Saccharomyces cerevisiae S288C: one gene and its partners. Changing the gene in region 2 together with the main gene of any one other region gives a genetic interaction. Each region holds a gene or a part of one and is shown on either strand. Other genes may lie near its edges.

Evidence for each region. A genetic interaction does not mean that the proteins touch.
Region 1: mutations in MET5 (region 2) and RPL37B together harm fitness more than expected from each alone (negative genetic interaction), as found in Saccharomyces cerevisiae (2 studies listed by BioGRID).
Region 3: mutations in MET5 (region 2) and IRC7 together harm fitness more than expected from each alone (negative genetic interaction), as found in Saccharomyces cerevisiae (one large-scale study listed by BioGRID).

The regions. Positions count from the first base shown.
Region 1 is NC_001136.10:1,447,999-1,454,309, forward strand, and holds RPL37B (60S ribosomal protein eL37 RPL37B), read right to left. Parts: upstream 2,856-6,311; coding exon 2,849-2,855; intron 2,460-2,848; coding exon 2,200-2,459; downstream 1-2,199. Other genes in the region: LCD1 (Lcd1p), read left to right, coding at 1-2,075; PLM2 (Plm2p), read left to right, coding at 3,355-4,920; methionine adenosyltransferase SAM2, read right to left, coding at 5,312-6,311.
Region 2 is NC_001142.9:676,473-686,643, forward strand, and holds MET5 (sulfite reductase (NADPH) subunit beta), read right to left. Parts: upstream 6,814-10,171; coding exon 2,485-6,813; downstream 1-2,484. Other genes in the region: MCM22 (Mcm22p), read right to left, coding at 1-306; protein transporter TIM8, read left to right, coding at 499-762; TTI2 (Tti2p), read right to left, coding at 969-2,234; GTPase-activating protein IML1, read left to right, coding at 8,095-10,171. UniProt on the Saccharomyces cerevisiae protein: Catalyzes the reduction of sulfite to sulfide, one of several activities required for the biosynthesis of L-cysteine from sulfate.
Region 3 is NC_001138.5:260,775-267,425, forward strand, and holds IRC7 (cysteine-S-conjugate beta-lyase IRC7), read left to right. Parts: upstream 1-3,429; coding exon 3,430-4,452; downstream 4,453-6,651.

The DNA.
Region 1 (6,311 bases), on a different chromosome or scaffold from region 2:
AGAGTAAAAATGATAACCAACTGGTTAACCAACTGAATAAAGCTCAAGGTGAAGCAAGCATGCTTCGTGATAAAATAAACTTTTTGAACATTGAAAGGGAAAAGGAAAAGAATATTCAAGCCGTCAAAGTTAATGAATTGCAAGTCAAGCATCTTCAAGAGTTGGCTAAATTAAAACAAGAATTACAGAAACTGGAAGATGAGAAGAAGTTCTTACAGATGGAAGCGAGAGGAAAATCGAAAAGGGAAGTTATTACGAATGTAAAACCACCGTCAACAACATTATCAACAAACACAAACACTATAACGCCAGATTCGTCCTCAGTTGCAATCGAAGCAAAACCTCAATCACCACAATCAAAAAAACGTAAGATAAGTGATAATTTACTGAAAAAAAATATGGTTCCCCTAAACCCAAATAGGATTATTCCCGATGAAACGAGTTTATTTCTAGAGTCAATATTACTTCATCAAATAATAGGCGCTGACCTGAGCACAATAGAAATATTAAATAGATTGAAGCTTGACTACATCACAGAGTTTAAATTTAAGAATTTCGTCATTGCTAAAGGAGCCCCCATAGGGAAGTCCATAGTTTCTCTACTTTTGCGATGTAAAAAGACGTTGACCCTCGACAGGTTCATAGATACTTTGCTAGAGGATATAGCTGTTTTGATCAAGGAAATATCAGTTCATCCAAATGAATCGAAATTAGCTGTCCCATTTCTCGTTGCATTGATGTATCAGATTGTACAATTTCGTCCTAGTGCCACTCATAATTTAGCACTGAAGGATTGTTTTCTTTTTATTTGCGATTTAATAAGAATCTATCATCATGTATTGAAAGTACCGATACATGAATCAAATATGAATTTGCATGTAGAACCTCAGATTTTCCAATATGAACTGATAGACTATTTGATAATTTCGTATTCCTTTGATCTCCTAGAAGGTATATTAAGGGTACTGCAGTCGCATCCTAAGCAAACTTATATGGAATTTTTTGATGAAAATATTCTAAAATCATTTGAATTTGTCTACAAACTAGCACTAACCATTTCATACAAGCCAATGGTAAATGTAATATTTAGTGCAGTCGAGGTCGTTAATATTATCACTAGTATAATATTAAATATGGACAATTCCTCAGATCTGAAATCCTTGATAAGCGGTAGTTGGTGGAGAGATTGTATTACAAGATTATACGCTCTTTTGGAAAAGGAAATTAAGAGTGGCGACGTATATAATGAAAATGTGGATACTACAACTCTTCATATGTCGAAGTACCATGACTTTTTTGGGTTAATCCGAAATATAGGTGATAATGAATTGGGAGGATTGATATCAAAGCTGATTTATACTGACCGATTGCAAAGTGTCCCAAGGGTAATTTCTAAAGAGGATATTGGGATGGATAGCGACAAATTCACTGCCCCTATAATAGGTTACAAGATGGAAAAATGGCTTTTGAAGTTAAAAGATGAAGTTTTAAATATTTTTGAAAATTTATTAATGATCTATGGAGACGATGCGACCATAGTAAATGGAGAAATGCTCATCCACTCCTCTAAATTCTTATCCAGGGAGCAAGCGTTAATGATAGAAAGGTACGTGGGACAAGACTCCCCGAACTTGGACCTCAGATGCCATCTTATTGAACATACTTTAACCATAATATATAGGCTATGGAAAGACCATTTCAAACAATTGCGTGAAGAACAAATCAAGCAGGTAGAAAGCCAATTGATTATGTCACTATGGAGGTTTCTCGTATGCCAAACCGAAACTGTGACAGCAAACGAAAGAGAAATGAGAGATCATCGACACCTTGTAGATAGTTTGCATGATCTGACGATAAAGGATCAAGCCTCTTATTACGAAGATGCCTTTGAGGATTTACCAGAATATATCGAAGAAGAATTGAAGATGCAATTGAATAAAAGAACGGGGAGAATAATGCAAGTAAAGTACGATGAGAAATTTCAAGAAATGGCAAGAACTATTCTTGAGTCAAAATCATTCGATCTAACCACACTAGAGGAGGCCGATTCATTATATATCTCAATGGGACTGTAAGGCAACAATCAAAAGGGGAAAATGTCAACGCTTTATAGAAACCTTGTAATGCTTAATATTAACTATATATAATTTATATTATTTTCGTTTTAGGAAAGAACAAAACTTATAGATAATATCAAATTTAAGCAGAAGTAGCCTTAGCAGAACCGGTTTGGAAACCGTTCTTAAATCTTCTGGAGACATGCTTCAAATATCTCATTCTACCGGTACCAGTAGTGTGTCTTCTCTTTGCCTTGGCAGCCCAGTTGTGAGATCTAGTCTTAGCGGATGGGTAACCACAAGAGGAACAGGTCTTCTTTTGAACATGGAAAGAACGACGACCACATCTGTTACACAAGGTGTGAGATTTGTTGTGACGCTTACCGAATGAAGGAGTACCCTCTGTTTAAAATGAAAACATAAAAGTTAATTATCGTTAGTAAAACTTTGAACTAAATAAACTCTACTGCTGGATTCAGAACAACTTCATTGGCGGTCTAGATGTGTGTTGCTGTCTTACACTATTTCTTCTCACCTTTTTGTATTGACACTCAAATCTTTTTATTCGCTCTTTATGCATCCGTTATGTGCAATTTCTTATCATCAATGGCTCTGGCAACATTCATCATTCTATATTTTTAAATCTTTTGGCATAGTGAATAACGTAGGTCTTAGTTTACCTGGCCTCTCCTGGTGGAAAATTTTTTCAGTGCTTCTTTCTCATGTAATCCTCTAAATCAGACCGGATGTGATTGAACGTTGACTCATCAATTAATAATTCCTGTACATACTACCCATCTTTACTTATATATTCGTTTACCTCTTTGTTCTTTATCTACACATAGTAGTGCTTTTTGTTACCGCTTTCTATAGTAACCTATGCTTACTATTCCAGCCATGTTTCCAATCTCATCCTTCCCGCAAGTGGCAGGAAGATTCTCAGTGATAATATTAGTGGTGTACGGAGTGCTTGAAGAAAAAAAAAACTGATATAGAACCCAAAAATGTTCGGCTTTTAAAATACAAATATGTACAGGTGTTAATGTCTAAATAATGATAATCCAAACGCGATAATTTTTTTTTCGCGTTTGTTTTTGTTTCAGAAGAATAAGTAAACACTTCTGCCTCTCCCAAGAAAGTTTAATTTCTCTCCTTATTTGCCGTTTCTATCGTTACTAGCAACGGGGAACAATATATAGAAGCGTTTTTTTTTTTGGTATACTATTTACACAATATTTGCCGATTTCATTAGTCTTTTCGCTAGAAGTTTCACGACAAAATCGTCACAATTTTGGTTATGTCCCATCTCTTCCCACCATCATCACCAGTTGCTGGTAAACCTTTGGAAAGCCCACAAAAAGAACCTGGTAAGCTTGCTAATACTTCTGTATTGACCTTAGGAAGAAAACGGTATAATTACGAATTGGAAGAGTATCCTACTCCAGACCCGTCGTCTAGCATCGGAAGACAATCTTCACCAGTGAAAGATATCACTTCACGTTTAAATGAGACCAAATCTGCCTTGTCATCTCCTTCAAAGCAAGAAAAGGTGCTTGCAGGCCCTATCGAGATTGAATTAGATGCATCGGATCCCTCACGTTTAGCCATCGGTAGGAAAAAATCAGTCTGCAACATTATTTTGCCATGCAGAAAGAATATCTCTAGGCAGCACGCTTTTATTTCATACGCCGCCGACAGAAATGAAATAAAATTGGAATGTAATGGAACTAATGGGTTGTCCGTTCACTTGCCTTACTCCATGCAGTTGCATTTGGTAAAACCCTTCCCAACAAGGAACTTTTATAAACTAGTGGCAGAAGAGCCTTTGACCTCGCAAAATACTAAACAATCGCATGGAAAAACTCTTCAAAAGAACCAAAACTTCATCAGCTTTGTTTTGGCTAAAGGTGAAACTGTTACTTTCCCCTATATCCAAGGAAGTTTCATAAATTTTACAGGCGTCACAGTCTGTCTTTCATTGAAAAAAGTAGCACCTTATCCTGGCGATGGCAACAATAACTTTGACGAAGAGAACTCGACAGAAACGGAGGATGAGTTGTGTTTATTAACAACAACGAGCGATGATTTTTCTTGGCAAAAAGAAACACCTTCGATGAAATTTGTCCCAGTTGAGCATTCACCTCGTACAGAACAGATCTCAAAACCATTACTTATTGCATCTCCTGCTCTTGTGAAAAACTCCCCCATTAGTTATAGAACAACACCCCAAACATCTTTCGTTATTAATCAGCCATCAACTCCAAAGAAACTGAAGCGTAAATCAATTTCATTGAAAAATAACACTATACAAGAGACACCACTTCCTAAAGATAAAATAATTGGGACATTAAGTGCCAGTACTAGGAGTGGTGGCATTAATGAAGAAGAATCTTTCGCAGCAGTTGCAAAAAAAACTAAAGAGCTGTCTTCTACAACCGCGATTGTATCTCCTGCACAAAAACGTCTTAAGACTTCATTGAATATTATTCCCGAAATTTCTCGGTCGCTCTCAGAAAGAGGAATTCGGTTTGATGACCTAGTTCATGTGCTATGTAATCATCTTGCATTTTCTAACCTTCAACAAACGCCTTTATCCCAATTGCAAAACATCAATTCCAACACTTCACAATTAAGCAAAGATGAACTAAAAAAGGTCTTGGAGACTATTTCTTGCATTGGTATTATTGTGCGTGAAGGAAAAGATGCGTCTGGCAAGCCATTAGAAGACGAGTATTACTATGATGTTGAAAACGATGATAGCGACGAGAGAAAGATTTTGTATAATTCGTTAAAAGGCAGGAGCCGATTAAGGTCGTGCAGGAAGAAACATAAACAGTATTTCTGGAAGAGGCCGACCAAATAACCTCAAAGACATTCTATATTTCAACCTTATTTCCATAGCATAGTCATATTACCACGTGGAGCATCATGAAAAAAACTGGTAAAACTCGTCAAAAAGTTCTAAAAACATAAAGTAATATTTTCTATATATTTCCGTTGAAGGAGCTAATACATAATCCATACAAAATAGATCATTATGCCTAGATGTTATTCTATTGGTGTTTGTCAAGTTTAAGAATGTTTAAAACTTTTCTATTGTATCATTTTCTAGTAATTACATGACTCGAGTTGAGCGAATCAAACGATAAGGCATCGTCTTCTCAATATAGGGAGGTGATCGGGACCAGCCTAGCATAAAGAAAGGGATTGAAATAATTATAAAAATCAAAATAAAACATTTATTGTCTAAATGTTTAAAATTCCAATTTCTTTGGTTTTTCCCATGAGTACTCTTGATTAGTGAAGTGACCATAAGAAGCGGTTGGTAAGTAAATTGGTCTAGCCAAATCTAATTCCTTTACTAACACACCTGGTCTCAAGTCGAAGTTCTTCTTAATAATTTCAATGATTTCGTCATCTGATTTTGTAGCTGTACCATAGGTGTCCACATGTAAAGACAATGGTTCAGCAATACCAATAGCATATGAAAATTGGACTTGGACTCTCTTACACAAACCAGCGGCAACTAGAGACTTGGCAACCCATCTAGCAGCGTAAGCAGCGGAACGATCGACCTTGGAATAGTCCTTACCGGAGAAGGCACCACCACCGACGGATGAGGCACCACCGTAAGCGTCGACAATAATCTTTCTACCGGTCAAACCAGCGTCACCTTGAGGACCACCGATGACGAATCTACCGGATGGTTGGATGAAATATTTGGTATTTTCGTCTAACATATCCTTTGGTATGACCTTTTCAACAATATCTTTTTGAAGTTGAGTTCTCAAGTCAGCGGTGGAAATTTCATCAGCATGTTGAGCAGAAATAACAACGGTATCTATCCTCTTTGGAACCCATCTACCATTGTCGTCTTCGTATTCGACAGTGACTTGAGTCTTTGTGTCTGGTCTCAACCATGGGAGAGAACCATCTCTTCTAGCATCTGCCATAGCCATGTTCAATTTGTGAGCCAAAAGAATGGTCAATGGTAACCCTTCTGGAGTTTCGTCTGTAGCGTAACCAAACATTATACCTTGGTCACCAGCACCTAAGTCTTCTAAGCTCTTTTCATAGTGCAGACCTTGAGCGATATCTGGAGATTGTTGTTCGATAGCTACTAAAACATTACATGTCTTGTAGTCGAAACCCTTGGCAGAATCGTCATAACCAATCTTCTTGATGGTATCTCTTACTATTTGTTGGTAGTCAAGTCTAGCTTTGGTGGTAATTTCACCGAAAACCATAATCATA
Region 2 (10,171 bases):
GGCCTTTTGATCAACTGATTGATCATTCATAAGCGAGAGCCATTCACTGGAACTTTGGGCTCTCAAAGACAAAAAATTCGATGTCAAACTGAAACCAATAGGATCAGCTCTCTCTGAGAAGAACATGGGTTTTCTTAATAACTCTGTAAAGACCTCAGAATTGACCGGTTTACCCTCTGTATCCAGAGATCTCTTCGTGATCTCATCGATGGCACCTTGAGCTTGCTTCAAGAAATATCGTTTGTTTCCGATCTGGTTCTCCAGGTTCTTTATGTAGACATCCAGGACATCCTTTTCAACATCCATGTTTCCTTTGTGAGACTTTCTGCCGTTTGCTCTTGTCCCTCTTTGTCGTCATATGCGTCTTGTTTGTTGTTACGCTGCATATCAAAGCGAACGGTTAGTTATTAACTAACGTAAAAATTGATGGAAACATTCATTTATATGAAAGTATTGAAGAAGAGGTAAAAAGGAAAACAAATTTACAAACAACAAAGAATGTCTTCTCTATCAACGTCTGATTTGGCCTCCCTTGATGACACTTCCAAAAAGGAAATTGCTACTTTCTTGGAGGGAGAGAACTCCAAACAAAAAGTCCAGATGTCAATCCATCAATTCACTAATATATGCTTCAAAAAATGTGTTGAGTCTGTCAATGATTCTAATTTAAGTTCGCAAGAAGAGCAATGTTTGTCTAACTGTGTGAATCGGTTTTTGGATACTAATATCAGGATTGTGAACGGGTTGCAAAACACCCGTTAATATGAAACCGATTTATCTCTCCGAGTCATTATTCTCTTTACCTTAATATATCTGTAAATAAGCAAATGAATATTTTAATATATGTCCAAGGTTTCTTTAAAAGGGATTCTTCAGCATAAAGGGCAAATAACTCTTTTTGTTTATATACTGTCTAGTTATATATATATATATATGTATATGCATTTGTCTGTGTCTGTGTCTGTTTCCTATGAGAACTCAAAAAGTAACTGAAACCGCGGTTGCTTAGATAGAGTCGATAACTGTTCACCCATAGCGCAGTCACAATTCAGCAACCAGCTTATCGTTTCCTTACATTGTTGTAGTATTGATTCGTTCAACGCATCCTCTTGCGAACACTTATCGTATGTAACTAGAATTAATGATAAAATGTCGAATCTGTGAGCCACTATTCTTTCATTCGGGCAAACCTTTATGAGAGTACTTACCACTGAAAGAGTTTTTGAAATAAGTTTTGGAAAAGTTGTGTAAAAAGGATTTCGTACAATATATTCACCTAAAACAAAAATCAGCCTCTGGAGATGTACAACAGACCCTTCTCTTTGAAGTCTCAGTATGTTCATTGTGCATTCCAATGCGTATAACGTCAAATTTTCGTATGCAAGGCTAGCCCTAGGAATTATGTTTTGCAAGATTATCTCTGACATGAACTTTTCCAGGTGATATTGATACTTTGTGTAATTGTCCAAAAATTCTACTTTATATAACGACTGTATCGTTGGGAAAACGACCCGCCATATGGCTATTGTTTCATCAGCATTGTATGAGGGAGGGAGAAAATAGCACATATTGATTAGCGTCTTTTCGAACAGTGGAAATAAACCAGTACTAGAGAACTGTATCCATTTTGAGTCATTGGTTTCGTTCATAAAGGTATGATTTAATAGCGTCTGTAGGAGCAGAACACCACGAAGTTTAATTCTTCTTATATCAGTGGTATCATCTAGTATGTTTAGAATTCCTGGAATAATCCAAGAAAGATTCGTAGATATGTCTCTCCTTTTCAAATGTAACAGAATTACGTAGAATAACGGAATGCCTTTCAAGCCACCCTGACTTACCCACGCCTGCATTAGGTTATCTTCTTTCAAAGACATTCCAAGCGTGGGTTTGAGACCAAGATTACGTTGCTCTTTGAGTTCGAAGTTGCTTTTGCGTTTTAAAAGTAGTGGCTGTAACTTAGAAATAAGGACGCACATAATTTCGTCATGTTCACTTTTGTTACGCTGAAAGTAGTAATCTATAGTCTGCAAAACATCTGTGTTGATTTGTATGTCTACTCCTGGAGATATGGAGTGATATGAGAGAGATTCAATAAGGTTGACCTCATCGGACACCGTAATTGCACATCCAGTATCTGTCTTCTTTCGTAACTGGAGACACAACTCTCGAAGCCTTGTAGAAGAAAGACTCGAATCATTCAATTCATCGATGATATCAGTTACGGCCGTCATTCTTTTCAATATTTTGTTATATGATTTTATTCTTCACCTCGTTTTCATTCTTCATAGTTTTCGTTTCTCATCTGCTATTGAAAAACCGAACTAGCCGAAGGATAACAATAATGAGTCTTAACTGTTAATATACAAGATTATACAAATAAATATGTTTCTATAAAATAAAAAGTTATATTCAATTGCGAAAAAAATAAATAAATGTGGGAAGAAAACCCAATAGTATGTCCTACTATGTCATATGCTATCATTAATAGGCATCTTCAGACACATCTTCATGGAAGTATTTACCCTCGGTGGTTGGTTTAATGATACCTACTCTTATACAGAAATCACCAAAGTGTTCCCCTTCTTCTCTTTCTAAAGCATACCTTTTAAACAATGGTTTGATGTAGTCGACAATTTCCTCATCCTTCACATTGGCCTTATACAATTTGTTTAGCCTTTGGCCGAGGTAACCACCACCAAGCATCAAGTTATAAGTATGTGGAGCTTTACCAACAAGAGCTAATTCACCTAGCCATGGACGAGAACAACCGTTAGGGCAACCAGTCATTCTCATAATAATGGAATCATGGCGTAAACCATACTCTTCTAAACAATCTTCCAACTGAGTAATAATGTCAGGTAGGAAACGTTCAGATTCGGCAAACGCTAAACCACATGTTGGCAAACCAACACAGGAAGATGAAGATAATCTCAAACCGCTGAAATCGGTGTTATCCAATTTATAGGTCTTTAAAATAGATTTTATTCCAGCAACATGTTCATCTGTAATATTAGAGATAACCAAATGTTGATTACCAGTCAATCTGAAATGACCAGAATTAGTCTTAAGCATGTATTCAGCAACCTTTCTAATACCTGTCTTTTGAGGCAAATCTGGTGTATCTTCAACCCTACCATTTTCAATAAATGCGGTAAAGTGGTTTAACCCAGTTTCATCTTTAATCCATCCAAAGTAATCAATATTAGATTTAAACTCAAATGGTCTCTCAGGCTCGAATTTCTTACCCCAGTATTCCTCCACTTTTTGCTTGAAGCCTTCGACACCCATATCATCTACAGTATACTTTAAACGAGCATGCTTACGGTCTTTACGGTCACCGTGATCTCTTTGGACAATAACGATACCTTCAAGTGGTGGAATAATGTCTTCAGTTTTAACAAAACCTAAGCATGACCCTAATCTTGGGTAAGTTTTCTTGTTGTTATGAGTGGTACCCATACCACCACCAACAAAAACATTATAACCCTCCACGATTTGAGTTTCTGGGTTAACTATAGCAACTAAACCGACATCGATAGATAATACATCCACATCGTTATATGGAGGAACGGCGATGTTGAATTTAAACTTTCTTGGCAGATAAGTTGGACCGTAAATTGGTTCAATATCGACCAAAGCGTTACCGCTAACTAGAGTCTTCTTTTTTCTTGGACCATCTTTTCTGTTTTCAAAAATAGATGGCCAGGATGGATCATCGTCCTGTTCTTCTGGGCCCTCCAGCCAAACTTCGTGGTAGGCCGTAGTCTTTGGTAAGAAATGATCAGAAATCAATTTTCCCATATCAGCGATTTGTTGGTGAACCTTGGCATTGGTTGGTAGAGCAGAAACCATGACATTTCTGTTCACGTCACCTGCAGCAGCTAATGTATCCATAAGAACTGCATTCATTCCTCTCAATGTGTGTTTCAAGTTCTTCTTTAGCACACCATGAATCTGGAAGGTTGCCCTTGTTGTTAATTTCAGGGTACCATTGCCTGAAGTATCAGATAAGTGATCCAGAGCAAGCCATTGTTGTGGAGTGGTCTTACCACCTGGTAAACGAGCTCTTGCCATAAACATATAGTATGGCTCTAAGCCTTGTGACTTACGTATTTCTCTAATGTCACGATCGTCTTGGGTGTAAATACCGTGAAATTTCATTAATTGTTCATTAGCGTGAGTAACACCACCTGAAGAAGTATCCTTTAAGTTCTCACTGATAGTACCTCTCAAGAAATTAGATTCTCTCTTAATATCCTCGTTTGTAACAGGTTTTGGCTCATCATCAACAGCAGCGCCGGAAACACCAAGAGCTTCCCATAATTTAGGTTCCCACTCAGAATAAGCAGTTTGGAAACCATCAGCATCTTGATCATCACCCAGTCCCAAGGGAATTAGGGCTTTGGCACTCAATAATTCCAAGCGCTTAAATAAATCCTGTGAAGGCTTGTTAAAATAATGTTTATCTTCTTTACGTGGCCAATACTCAGAATCACCGAGACCAAAAACAGCAACATTCAAACTAGCTAAATCCAAGTCGGTGTCATTTTTCAGAGCTTCCCAGAAAGACTTACCGTCTTGGGGGAATTCACCTTGCCCAGCCGTGGAAGTAATGAAAACTACATTCTCTTCACCAGGTAATTCTTCCAAAATAATGTCATCCATGGACAGAACAGTAGCCTTTAAACCTCTTGCAGATGCCCTTGCTGCTAGTCTCTTTGCCAAGTTTGCAGCATTACCACCGTCAGAAGCATAATAGACGTGTAGCGGTGGGCCGGACAAACCCTCCAATAACTGATCGAAGGCAGCCTTGCTTCTTTTTTCTTGTTTCCTTGTCAACGCATCACCAGCAGATTGCTTTAGATTTCTTGACAAAGATGGATCTTTTCTGGTTAATAGGGTAAGCTTATTCTCACGGTCTAAGAAGTCCTGTAATTGTTTTCTGATAACCGAAGAATCCAAGCTAAATGCCTCCTTATCTGTTGATGGATCGTCATAAACAGGATTAAACCTATACAATGGCCAGTAACCAGATTCAACGGCGTTTTTGGTTTCCTTTAAGACTTCTAATGGAGTATCATTTTCGGAATTATACGGCAAATAAGCCAAGACAATAGAAGGACCATTGTATTTAGATGCCTCTATTATTGCAGTCAATAGTTGGGTGTAAGAAGCATATACTGCTACAGAGGCAACATAGGCACTGTAATAATTCATGGCGTACAAACCAACATCTTTCTTTCTATCCTGGTTTTGCTTTCTATGGTCATATGGCTCTGAATCAATCAATAAAACATTAATGTTTTTACGGGAGGATAAAACCTGTTGAATACCTGAGTGACCCAAATCATAAGACCAGGCATCGGAGCCAATTAGCCAGCTTGATTTGAAAATAAAAGAATCGCTTGTTGGAGCTATCTTTAAGAATTTTAAGACAGTAGAGGAATCTTGATTAGATTGTAATAACTGAAATATTTCCAAACCTGTCGCATTGGCCTCTTGTAATTGAGCTTCGTCAAGATCGCGTCCATTGAATGACAACCATTTAGATAATAGTTGAACAATTTTATTTGCATCCTCGGACAAGTAAAGACTTGGATCAAGAGAGGTTTTTGCTAAGCTGATCAATTCTTCACGCTGGGCTTCTTGTTTTAAAAAGCGTCCAAAACCAAATTCTGGATTACTTGGTTCAATTGTCTCACTGGAAAATTGATTCAAAATTTGTAGATTTGATGAAAATAACTGTTTTAGCACTTTGATATAGGCGTCTTCTAAGTTCACAACTTTTTTGACAGAAGAAATAAGTTGAGTAACTTCAGCTTGTTCCTCAGCCTTTTCATTGGATTCACCTAAAAATAAGTTATTATCTGGTTCCTTCTTGTTAATATTCGATATGACGGTGTTGATAACGTTGCCATAATCATTCACATTACCAATATTAGTCAACACTACCTGCTCGATGTTCCTAGAAACTAATTCATTAAAATTGCCAAAGAAGTCCAAAAGAAATGGTTGAAATTCGTTTGATTGCGATTTCTTAGAGACACCCTGTAAAACGGCGATTTTGGTAACAGAAGATGGCAGTATTTCCAAGAACTTGGAAAAATTCCATGGTCTGTATACTCTAATCTTGATCAATCCTACGTTTGAAGGCAATACGCTACTGAATTCCGCGTCATATGGTGACAGGTTAACAATGACAGTGGTAATTGACTCTTTACCTTTAACCAGTTCAAAATTTGTCAATGAATCAGTAGCTTCTGATAATGCTACTTTAGTCTCTTCGTTAGCAATCTCCAAGGTAGGAAAGTCGATGTCTTGTTCAATAGCTGTACTCGTGCCAATTTTCTCCAAGTTAAGAAAATGGAAAACTGGGGTCAGAGAACTTGTAGCAATCTTATAAGAAGAGTCCGCGTTTGAAATTGCAGTTTGCAAATCAGAAGATATTAAGATGGGGAAAGAAAGATCCTTTAACGCAGGAATTGCGGAATAATCTTGCAAATTCAAATCCACTGTAATCACCAATGGAAGTTTATTAGGAAGAGAATATAGATGGTGGATGGATTTGACCAAAGTAGTTTCATCTGTAAAAACGGTAGTTAAAATGTCCTTAGAGAGTTGATCTTTGATGGTATTCAATGGATCTTGATTGTTCAATAGATGAGTAGCATCTGTGGCAACAGATTCTAGCCCTTTGAAGGATGAATGACTATTTTTTGTGCTAGTAGTGTAGAACACTTTATTTTGGGGAGCACTAGAGGAATATTGCGCCAACAATTGTGGGAGCGTCAAGAGGTCAGAAGCAGTCATTCGCCAATCTTTTGTTTTTCTCTGGTTCCCGTTCCCTACTGTTACTTTATTAGTATATAAGGGATCTGAATAAATATCAAGACGATGGAAAAAAAATAACAAGCAAAGGAACCTTTCTATATCCCAATTTTATTTCACATTAAAAACTATCGTCTTCCAACACTTTATATAACTGCTTGCAGCGGCCAGTAATTCGTCGCATCTCCATGACTCAAATTTTCCAGTGTCTCTTAGCAGTTAAACCATTCCTGCCTCTGTGTGGTGGTAATTGTGGCATTATGAGTTAAGAGATAATACGCACGTGATGAAATTCATTCTGTGAAATATCACGTGGACAAATTATATTACCCGGATTCATAAATCCACGTATTTTACCTGCATCTTTATTGAGTGCTTAGTAAAAGTCAGTTGGTGAAATTCCGCAGATAAAACAGCATATTAGTTGCCTGAAAATAGCCTTATGTGTTGGTTTGATACGTCTTTGTCATTATATACCCAAAGGTTTGTAGTTCATGTTGCGGGTTGGTATGAATAAATTTTTCGTATTTAGTGATTATAATACTTATTACCCATTTCGGCGGCTAATAAGGAATCTGCTAAGATAGGTAAATGTACAATACCATCAATGGCTTCTAAAAGTTTTCAAAGAAGTGGGATAAGGGATGAAAGTTGTGCGTGTGTTGGTTACTTAGGTTCTAATTTGGCTTCAATTTGAAGTGAGATGTTTTGTTTAACATTAGTTTCAAATTAACAGCTTTTGTGAGAAAATATATTTTGGATGAATAGCAGAAAATAGAAATCTGGAAATAAACAAAACAGAGCCAAAATTCTAAGCTTAATAACATGAATATTTGTTTATCTAGCATCTTGTTCCTCCCACTCTTTTTCCGAAAATATGGCTAGCCAACTTAGGTGAATGGGGAAGGGTACTAGATTCATTCATTTATTTCTATTCAAGGACAAGAACTTTTAACATAGTAAGACCTTTATGTTAGTTTGGTGCGGCTGACAAATTCATAGCTAATGTGCTAGAGCTCTTATATTGGTAATTACTAATCCTTCATTGCTATTATGACTATCACATTATAAGGTAATGAAAAATTAAATCATTGTGTACGGATTAAGTCCTTTCTCTAAAAGAGATCACGTGACTATTTGAATCACTATCTATGTTAATCATTATTGTTTAAAAGATAGTAAGTGACAGAACAACGAATTGTTTCTGTAACTACTTTTTAAGCAGGGAAATAACTCAGCACTGACAAGGGACACTTTTTAAGGATGTTCGCTAAATTGCATGGGAAGAAACAAAGACCAATTTCTTCCATCAATTCACAAACTCCAAGGACTAGCAATACTACTCACGCAAATAGCATATCCTTATCATCGGGTAATTTGATAGTAGGTTCCAATAGAAATTTAAGACAAAAGAAAGAGCAGTTTGGTTCTCAACAAAGGGCTTCCGGCAGAAAGCTGATTTCAAATAAGGAAAATGACGATAACGTCAACAATGGTGGTGACAACAATTATGACAATGGGGAACGGGTCCATCGCCATCATATTCCAGGACTGAAAATAAAGGCGTATCAAGCTGAATTAGGCTATCATGAGTCCCGATTTTCCGAGAATTTAGTGATGCTAAATCTAGTTGAGTTCCCGGATATAAAACCTGGTGATTTGGTAGAATTGAAAACATATCACAAAAATCCATCTGCATCGAACGGAGATAAGAAAATTTATTTTATTGCAAAAGATTTTGACGGAGAGACTAAAAGAAGGGCAAAAACATCTAATGTTTCAATACTTTCGGGTCAACTGCAAACTTTGTTAGATTTGCCTTCTAGGTCTAGGATATGGATAAAATTGAAACCAAACAAATTTGACTTACAGGCAGATGTGGTAGAGTTTAATATCAAAGATTGCCTACTAAATAGAGGTGATATGTGGGTTCTATCATCTAAGCTGGTAGATACATGTGTGTTTATGGATCAAAGACTGGCATTCTTAGACTCTATCAGAGGTACTATTAAGGGAATTTATCGAAATGGTAAGAAGATTGTTTCTGGATATATTGGCGAACAAACAAGGATAATTTTTCGGTCCGAATCTGCCAGATTAATTTTTTTGATTCAAATAACTGATGAAATGTGGAACTTCGAAGAAACTGGTGAACAATTATTTCAAAAGATGGTTAATTCATTTTTCCCGAAGATCTTCAAAAAATGGAAAGATGTGGACACCCACCATACTATCACTATAGCCTTCGCTATATCAATGGACTTGTCTGATACATCATTCAAGGACTTAACACCCGGCGAATCTTTGAAAAATTCACAGGATTATTTTAGGATAGTTGTAGATCAAGTCAGTATTATCCATTGGGTTGATATTATGGAAACATTAAGAGAAGAATTTATGGAAATCAGAAAAGATTTATTAAACAAGCAAACGGATAAGGGTTACAGTGTAGCGAATGGAAGATTTTCACCTGTAATCAAGTCGAATTTTCTCGAATTGGTCAATTTTGCCACGACAATTTTAACGGATCCTTTCAAGCAATTAGATCTTCGACACACTACAACGCACGTCATGATTATTTCACCAGGGTCTGGATTATTTGACGTTGATTATAGTTTATTAAGGCTAACAGGAAAAAAACTACTCTCTCTTGAAATGACGATGGATTTAATATGTCTTTCAAAAGCTCCATTGCACATAGTTCCACTTTTTAGGTACCGAGACTTTGAGAACAAGCTTCATCATTGTGTACCGCTTTGGTTAAGTGTTTTCTTTTGGAATGATCATGACAAAAAGAGTAACTCAGAATGGACTCCAAGATGTAAAATTTATGACTTACAAATGATGGGGATTACTGAAAATGAGTTAATTCGGGAAGTGGATGTTGAATATTTACAGCTGAACAAGAAAGTCAAATCACTATCCGAGTTTATGAATGATTACGACAAAAATGCCTTCGAGGTGAAAATTTTATGCGCTGGCTCTAATACGAAACAATCTAAGAAATTAAATTCAAAGTTTGATACCGTCTTCGAGAATGATGTTGTTGTGAAGGCAAGGAAAATCCCGGCAACAGCAACAACAACACACGGTAACACAAAATTCATATGGAGAGGTCCAAAAGTTGCTCTCCCAGCCATTAAGGATATTCAAAAACCAAACGTAATACCAGATCTATCAATAAAAACAATAGAGGCCTCTTTTTATGATGATTGTAATACTACAAATGATAAAATTAGCACTCCCACCACTTCTAACAATGACAATCTCGAAATGAATGACTCATTGGTCTCTGTGAGATCTGCTGATAACCAAAACACATCTTTGGCGCTGGATTCGC
Region 3 (6,651 bases), on a different chromosome or scaffold from region 2:
AAGGAAGAAAAACGTAATGGTAAAATAAAACTCGACTATGGCGCAACCGATAGAGAGTTTAGTGGCATTAGAAATTTTAAAAGAAGCTTTAAACTACAAAGTGTTCTTCTGAATCTGAATAAGGTCACTTACATAGAAACCTACTTACCTCAAAAGCGTAATTCCGAAAGGCAAAAGAAAAACTTTTGTAGAATCTTCAGCTGCTAGAAGTTCAAATAGAAGACAAATTACGGACTTGTTGCAGTATATGCCAAGCTACAGAAGAAATTATATTTCTTAATACGTACAGAAGGTATGAAACGTTAGTTTACTCACAGAAGATACCCTGGCTTTTCTTTTATTAATACATGGAGTTGCAAAAAACAAGGGAAAGGAAAATCAATCAAATTAGAATTAAGGTTTTTTTTGGACAGTGCAGCGTCAATGCGCACGTAATGGCTTCGAAGAAAAAAAGAAGGCAAATACAATGAAGCTGAGATCTTGTTTTATCATGAGGGGAAATAAATTGGAAGCATTGAAGTTGTTGGAATGAAACTCTAAAATATCATCTGTTTAGTAGTATCGTGTTACTAGTACATTATCACATACAGTGTAAGAAAATGACATTAGGTATGAGAAACAGTCATCAAATCTAATGGAAGCGAAATTCAAGGGTTGGTGATGTAATAGGATAATGAAACATATAAAACGGAAGTAAAAATAATCGTAATATTACAAGGAGACCAAACAAACAGTCGAGAGAAGCGTATGCACAATCATGCAAGAAAAATTTTCTGGAAGAATTTATTTAATCTTAAATTACAAATCTTAGTAGTAATGGTCACTTCTGATAGTTTCGAAAAAGGAAAGAGGAGATGACTATTGAGTCAAATTTTTTTGACGGAAACTTAGCGACCGAAAAATATATATGATAATAAGAAAACGAATGGCATACAATGATTAGTTTCAAATATTTCACGCGCAAAGAAAGAATTCTACTACCGGAGTGTGCCCTTCTTGTACTTTATTATCAGACTGTGTCTCTCTAATTGCGTGTTGTCCGCGGAATAATGCTCTAATTTAAAAAATCGACATATTCTGACTTGTATGGCGCTTTGCATTGGTGTTTATATGTTAATAACCCCTAATCATACTCTATATGAATACTTTCAAATTTACCAACACAATAAAATCTTCATATTCTCATGCATGTTTTGCCCTGTATCACTAAATAATACATACTTTACCGAAGCTGGTTGTATTTCGTGTATATCATAGCCAATGATGCCGTTATAATGTCCGAAATATTATCGCTTAATGAAGGGAAGCAGCTAACAAATATGACAAATACAGCAATTTCTTACACCGGTAACTAATGATTATACAAACAAGACTTGATTTTTTTTATGGCCTGTAAGAATATATCATAACGTGAGTTCTAGATATTTAAAGTTCTTTATGCATATTCTAGTCTACGTATATAGGAGTTCCAAAAAAAAAAAAAATTAAATGCACGTTATTCTTGACGCTAGTGTAAGTTTTTATGTACTTTACCTGCTAGCTTCGTATTTCTGTCTTGGGATATTCTTGTCCCTATTATGAGAATGTACAATATGCAAAATAAAGGTAAAAGATTTGAAAAAGAGAAAATACCCAAATATCAACAAAACTACCTCTATAGGACCTGTCTCATGGTCTTGACAACTTTATGCGAAATAAGAACACGATCGTTATATCACTTAACGCTTGAGATATATACAGAATGTAGTACATGTCGGCCCTTCTACGGATTTATTACCATGTGTATACTAGAATTGATACCGGCAACCCATAGTGACTTTTAACAGGGCAATTGGATTTGCATAAAAGTATATACAGTAATAATAATATTTCCTGATGAGAAAGGTGGAAAGTATCGAGTTATGTGTACCTTCAATACCAATCTCTACCTCTCGTTAATAGTGCCACAATGCTATGGATTCTAAGCAATTTAAACCGCATAGCTATTAGTGTAGACTTCCCACTGTATTTGAATGACACGTTGCCTTCATTCCTTGTTGCGCTGAACTTTCACGTCAGATATATATACATAAGTGCAATAGAGGCCTAGGCTAATCTGCAAATTTCTCATAGATGTACACCGCCTGTGCCGTACGGCATCGCTATCTTCTGAAAGGAAACTGTAGTAAATTTACCAAAATATCTCCGAATAAAAAGAAGAGGAACATCTTTTAATGAATTATAGAGTACAAAAGAATCATTTAAAAGAGAGGGCGAGTGAAAACATGAAAAGAAACGTTACTAACTTAATTGACCTTAAAGTAGCCTCACCAGTTAAGTGCATTATTGATCATTCCATGAATAACCATTTTTAAAGACTAAGATGCTGAGTTGTGTTATATAGAGAGAAAAAAACGTACTTTCAGTTTCCATATGAGGTGGAGCGCAGGTCATAGGTATGCCGGCTCATTGTTTTCTATTTTAAAAAGTAAAAAATATGCTGCTAAAGGAACACGTGAGAAATTACATTCTCCCTAGGTCTGCGATAACGCGGTAATATTACACTGCCGCCGCCTTCCATGCCTTTGGAAAGCAGACAATGATGCTAGGCGGCGCCCAGCAGTATAAACTTTTCTTGCTTATAACCAGAACCTCTATCACAAAATTAGAAACTGCGATACTATGGGTCAGATCGACACATAGGGAGCACTATTAGGCGCAAGGCGTATACATAGGCATTGCGTGTTCAAAAATTGTCGTATGAGAAAAGTTCCAAACTTTCCACCATTACTCACCAACAACTTACACCAGCCCGGATTTAAGATTTAGCTTCCGAGAATATTGTGACTCAGCCACTGGTCTCTTGAATGTTGCGTGTAGCTTGATTAAGATTATGGCATAACCGTTTTTTTTACTTGGCAAGAGTGAACGTCCTTTTACTCCAAAAGGCTCCTGATGAAACTGGAGAGTCTCTTTGTTCTGAAATTTTTAAAGTTTAGCACACCATATTCACGCTCGAGGTGAACCCAAGTTTTCCTGAAAAATGTGCCATGAACCTGAAAAAAAGAATTATTCTCGAAAATAAAAAAGGCAATCAAGATCGGAAAGATAAGCATTTTTTTTCAATCCGTATCTAACATTCATAAAGTGATAAAAAAATTGATAACGATTTTATTGTCGCCTCTTGTTTTGAGTATATTTTTTTAACGTTCTTTTTCGGCATTCAAATTCCGTATAATCAACTCAATTGTAAGGCGCCGTAGCATCCAAATAATGTTGAAAGTGCCAATTTGCTCATCAGTGCTAAATATTCCTTGATAAAAATATAGAAGACAAGGACATATAAAAAGAAAGACTGCTCTAGTGTTGGGACACCACAATGAAAAAATACTTAACGTGTTTCGAAACTGTGAATATAAAATTCCAGCAAAAACCAAAATATTCACTACAATGATTGATCGTACCGAGTTATCGAAGTTTGGTATTACTACGCAACTGTCTGTTATTGGACGTAATCCAGATGAACAAAGTGGCTTTGTTAATCCACCTTTGTATAAGGGGTCAACCATCATTCTTAAAAAACTTAGTGATTTAGAACAAAGGAAAGGAAGATTTTACGGGACAGCAGGTTCTCCAACTATTGACAATTTAGAAAATGCCTGGACGCATTTAACCGGCGGTGCTGGGACAGTGCTATCAGCTTCTGGGCTTGGTTCTATCTCTTTGGCGCTATTGGCCCTTTCGAAAGCTGGTGATCATATCTTGATGACTGATAGTGTCTACGTGCCAACACGTATGCTATGTGATGGTTTATTGGCCAAGTTCGGTGTTGAAACGGATTATTATGACCCATCAATAGGGAAGGATATAGAAAAACTAGTTAAGCCAAATACAACCGTCATTTTCCTCGAAAGCCCGGGTTCTGGGACCATGGAAGTACAGGATATTCCAGCTTTGGTCTCTGTTGCCAAAAAGCATGGGATAAAGACAATTCTAGACAACACATGGGCAACGCCACTCTTTTTTGATGCTCATGCGCATGGTATCGATATTTCGGTAGAAGCTGGGACAAAATATTTGGGTGGTCATTCAGATCTTCTTATTGGTCTGGCCTCCGCAAATGAAGAATGTTGGCCGCTATTACGGTCAACTTATGATGCAATGGCAATGTTACCAGGTGCCGAGGACTGTCAATTAGCATTGCGAGGAATGCGTACATTGCACTTAAGATTGAAAGAGGTAGAAAGAAAAGCCCTGGATTTGGCTGCTTGGCTCGGAAATCGAGATGAGGTTGAAAAAGTGCTTCACCCCGCCTTTGAAGATTGTCCCGGACATGAATACTGGGTTCGTGACTACAAAGGTTCTTCAGGCTTATTTTCCATTGTCCTTAAAAATGGGTTCACAAGAGCTGGTCTGGAGAAAATGGTAGAAGGGATGAAAGTTTTGCAATTGGGATTTTCATGGGGTGGCTAGAAAAGCTTCAACATGGCCTTACAAAGGTTTTGCACTAAGAATACAAGTGGGTCTCGAAGAATTTGAAGATTTAAAAAGGGATTTTGAGTTAGGCTTTGAACGTCTCGCAGAAGAAATTTCTTTGAATCCTTTACAAATCTGATTTTTTTTCCTTTTTTTTTTGGATTTCCAAGCAATGTTGTTTGAGAAATGAATGAAATTTTTGACTATAGCTTGTCTTAGGCAGGCTGGAGTAGACAACCATCTAGTAGCCAATGTTTGCCCAGTTAATATATGGTTCAATTTTCTAGCTGTATCATATTATGGATGATGAAGCAGATAATCTTTCTTTTTTCTGTATGTCTGATTGTAATAAAGAGGCTTACCATATTGTGAATGCATTTCAATGACACTGCATAATGAAGTCATTGTATTTAGAAAAGTAATAATTTTGTATTGTATAAAGATAGAAAAAACGTATATCGTACTTATTCAGCGGAAATGATTCTGCTTTATCTACTTGCGTTCCTGAATATAATATTTGTGAACCAGGCTTGAGCTTGACACTACAGATTTTTTAGTTCGATTTCATTCAGTAGAGAAAGGCATATCAATATGACATGTGATCTCACTCCGCGGCTAAATGCTAGCAATAAAAAGAATACCGTAATAGAGATGCAGCAAAATAACCACTGGTGTTTAAGAAATAATATGATTACGTCAGTAACCGAAGAGCCCGTACGCACTCTGCTACCATAGACTATGTATATTGTTACCTATTGTAAATAGCTATGGTTACTCTAAGTACGTATGGTGCTATGCATCTCGGTGAACGGATGCAATTATGAAAGTGTAGGTCAGAACATCATCGGTGGTTTTGTCGTGTAAAAAAGGTTATAAGGAAAATTATACTCACATGATTTTATTCATCATCGTCTGTGTATCGCTTCAATTAACATTTTGAAAAAGAGATTACTTTATATGACGTTATGTATATCTTTCAACTTAAATAACCTTAGCTGGCAAAATAAAGAATAAGATAAGGGCCAAGAAGAACGCTAATACTCGTTTTTTTTCAACTACAAAACAACTAGTTGGATAATTTTGAAACAACAAAGTAGAAGTTGTACATATATTTTTGCGCATATGGCTCTGAAATATCGTATTTTTCAAAAGCCCGATACAAAGCCGTCAGCAATACCCATAGTTAAAGATTCCTTGATAACCTATAGCTTCCGTAGACAACAACACAAATTTACCACCTACTTTTAACTCACCCATGTTTTTCAGTTTATCAATGAATCTAATAAACGTGGCTTACGTAACAGCTCCGCATGGACTTGAATTTACTCCTAGCGAGCCTAGTGTTTTAATTGCTTGCATACAATCTTCATCGGAAACTAAACAGGAAATAGATGGCCCCTTTCTGTAGTAGAAGAAATGCTGTTGCTGAAATCCTCGGACAGTTCAACTCATCCATGATTGTTCTAGAGGTTCCTAGATCAGATGAAGCCTTTTGTAACACCAATGACTTATTGACAGTGTAAGCGGTATCTGGTTCAACCGAGAAGACTTTCGTATTCGATTTATGCGACCTGTAATATGTTATCACTCCTTGAGCAAAAGAATCAGCCCCACAAGGGACAAATATTACCGCAGGATCGAATGGTATTTCGCTACACAAGGTAGTGTAACCATAAGAAATCCAGTTAGGAATTTCATCATAACCTATGAATGAAAAATCTTGAATAAGTTGATTTTTTTGTCGGATCGCTACTACAAAACTCTAAAGAACTTTTTATTGCATAATCATAGTTACCTTTAATTTTGATAACTTCTGCTCCCTTTTCTGATCTGATGTTCTCACGCTCTGTTCTAGAACATTCCATGGAGTAAATATTGTAGACTTTAAGCCTAGGATTTTTGCCATGTATGCAACTGCTCTACCATCATTACCATCTGTAACAGCCGCTAGCATCAAAGACGGGTGTTGGAATTTGACAATTTGCTTCAATGTATCCAAGGAAGTTTTAGGTAATGGCAGGCTAAATCTTCCAATCAAACAGCAAAATACACCTCAAGACGCCCCAAGAATTTTGAATGAAGGCGAGCTGAATCCCGAACTTTGTTCTTTAATGTACAATTTAATACCAAAATGATTATCCAACTTGATTAGCTTCGATGACTCATACAGATCCATACCAATATCAACTTCACGGA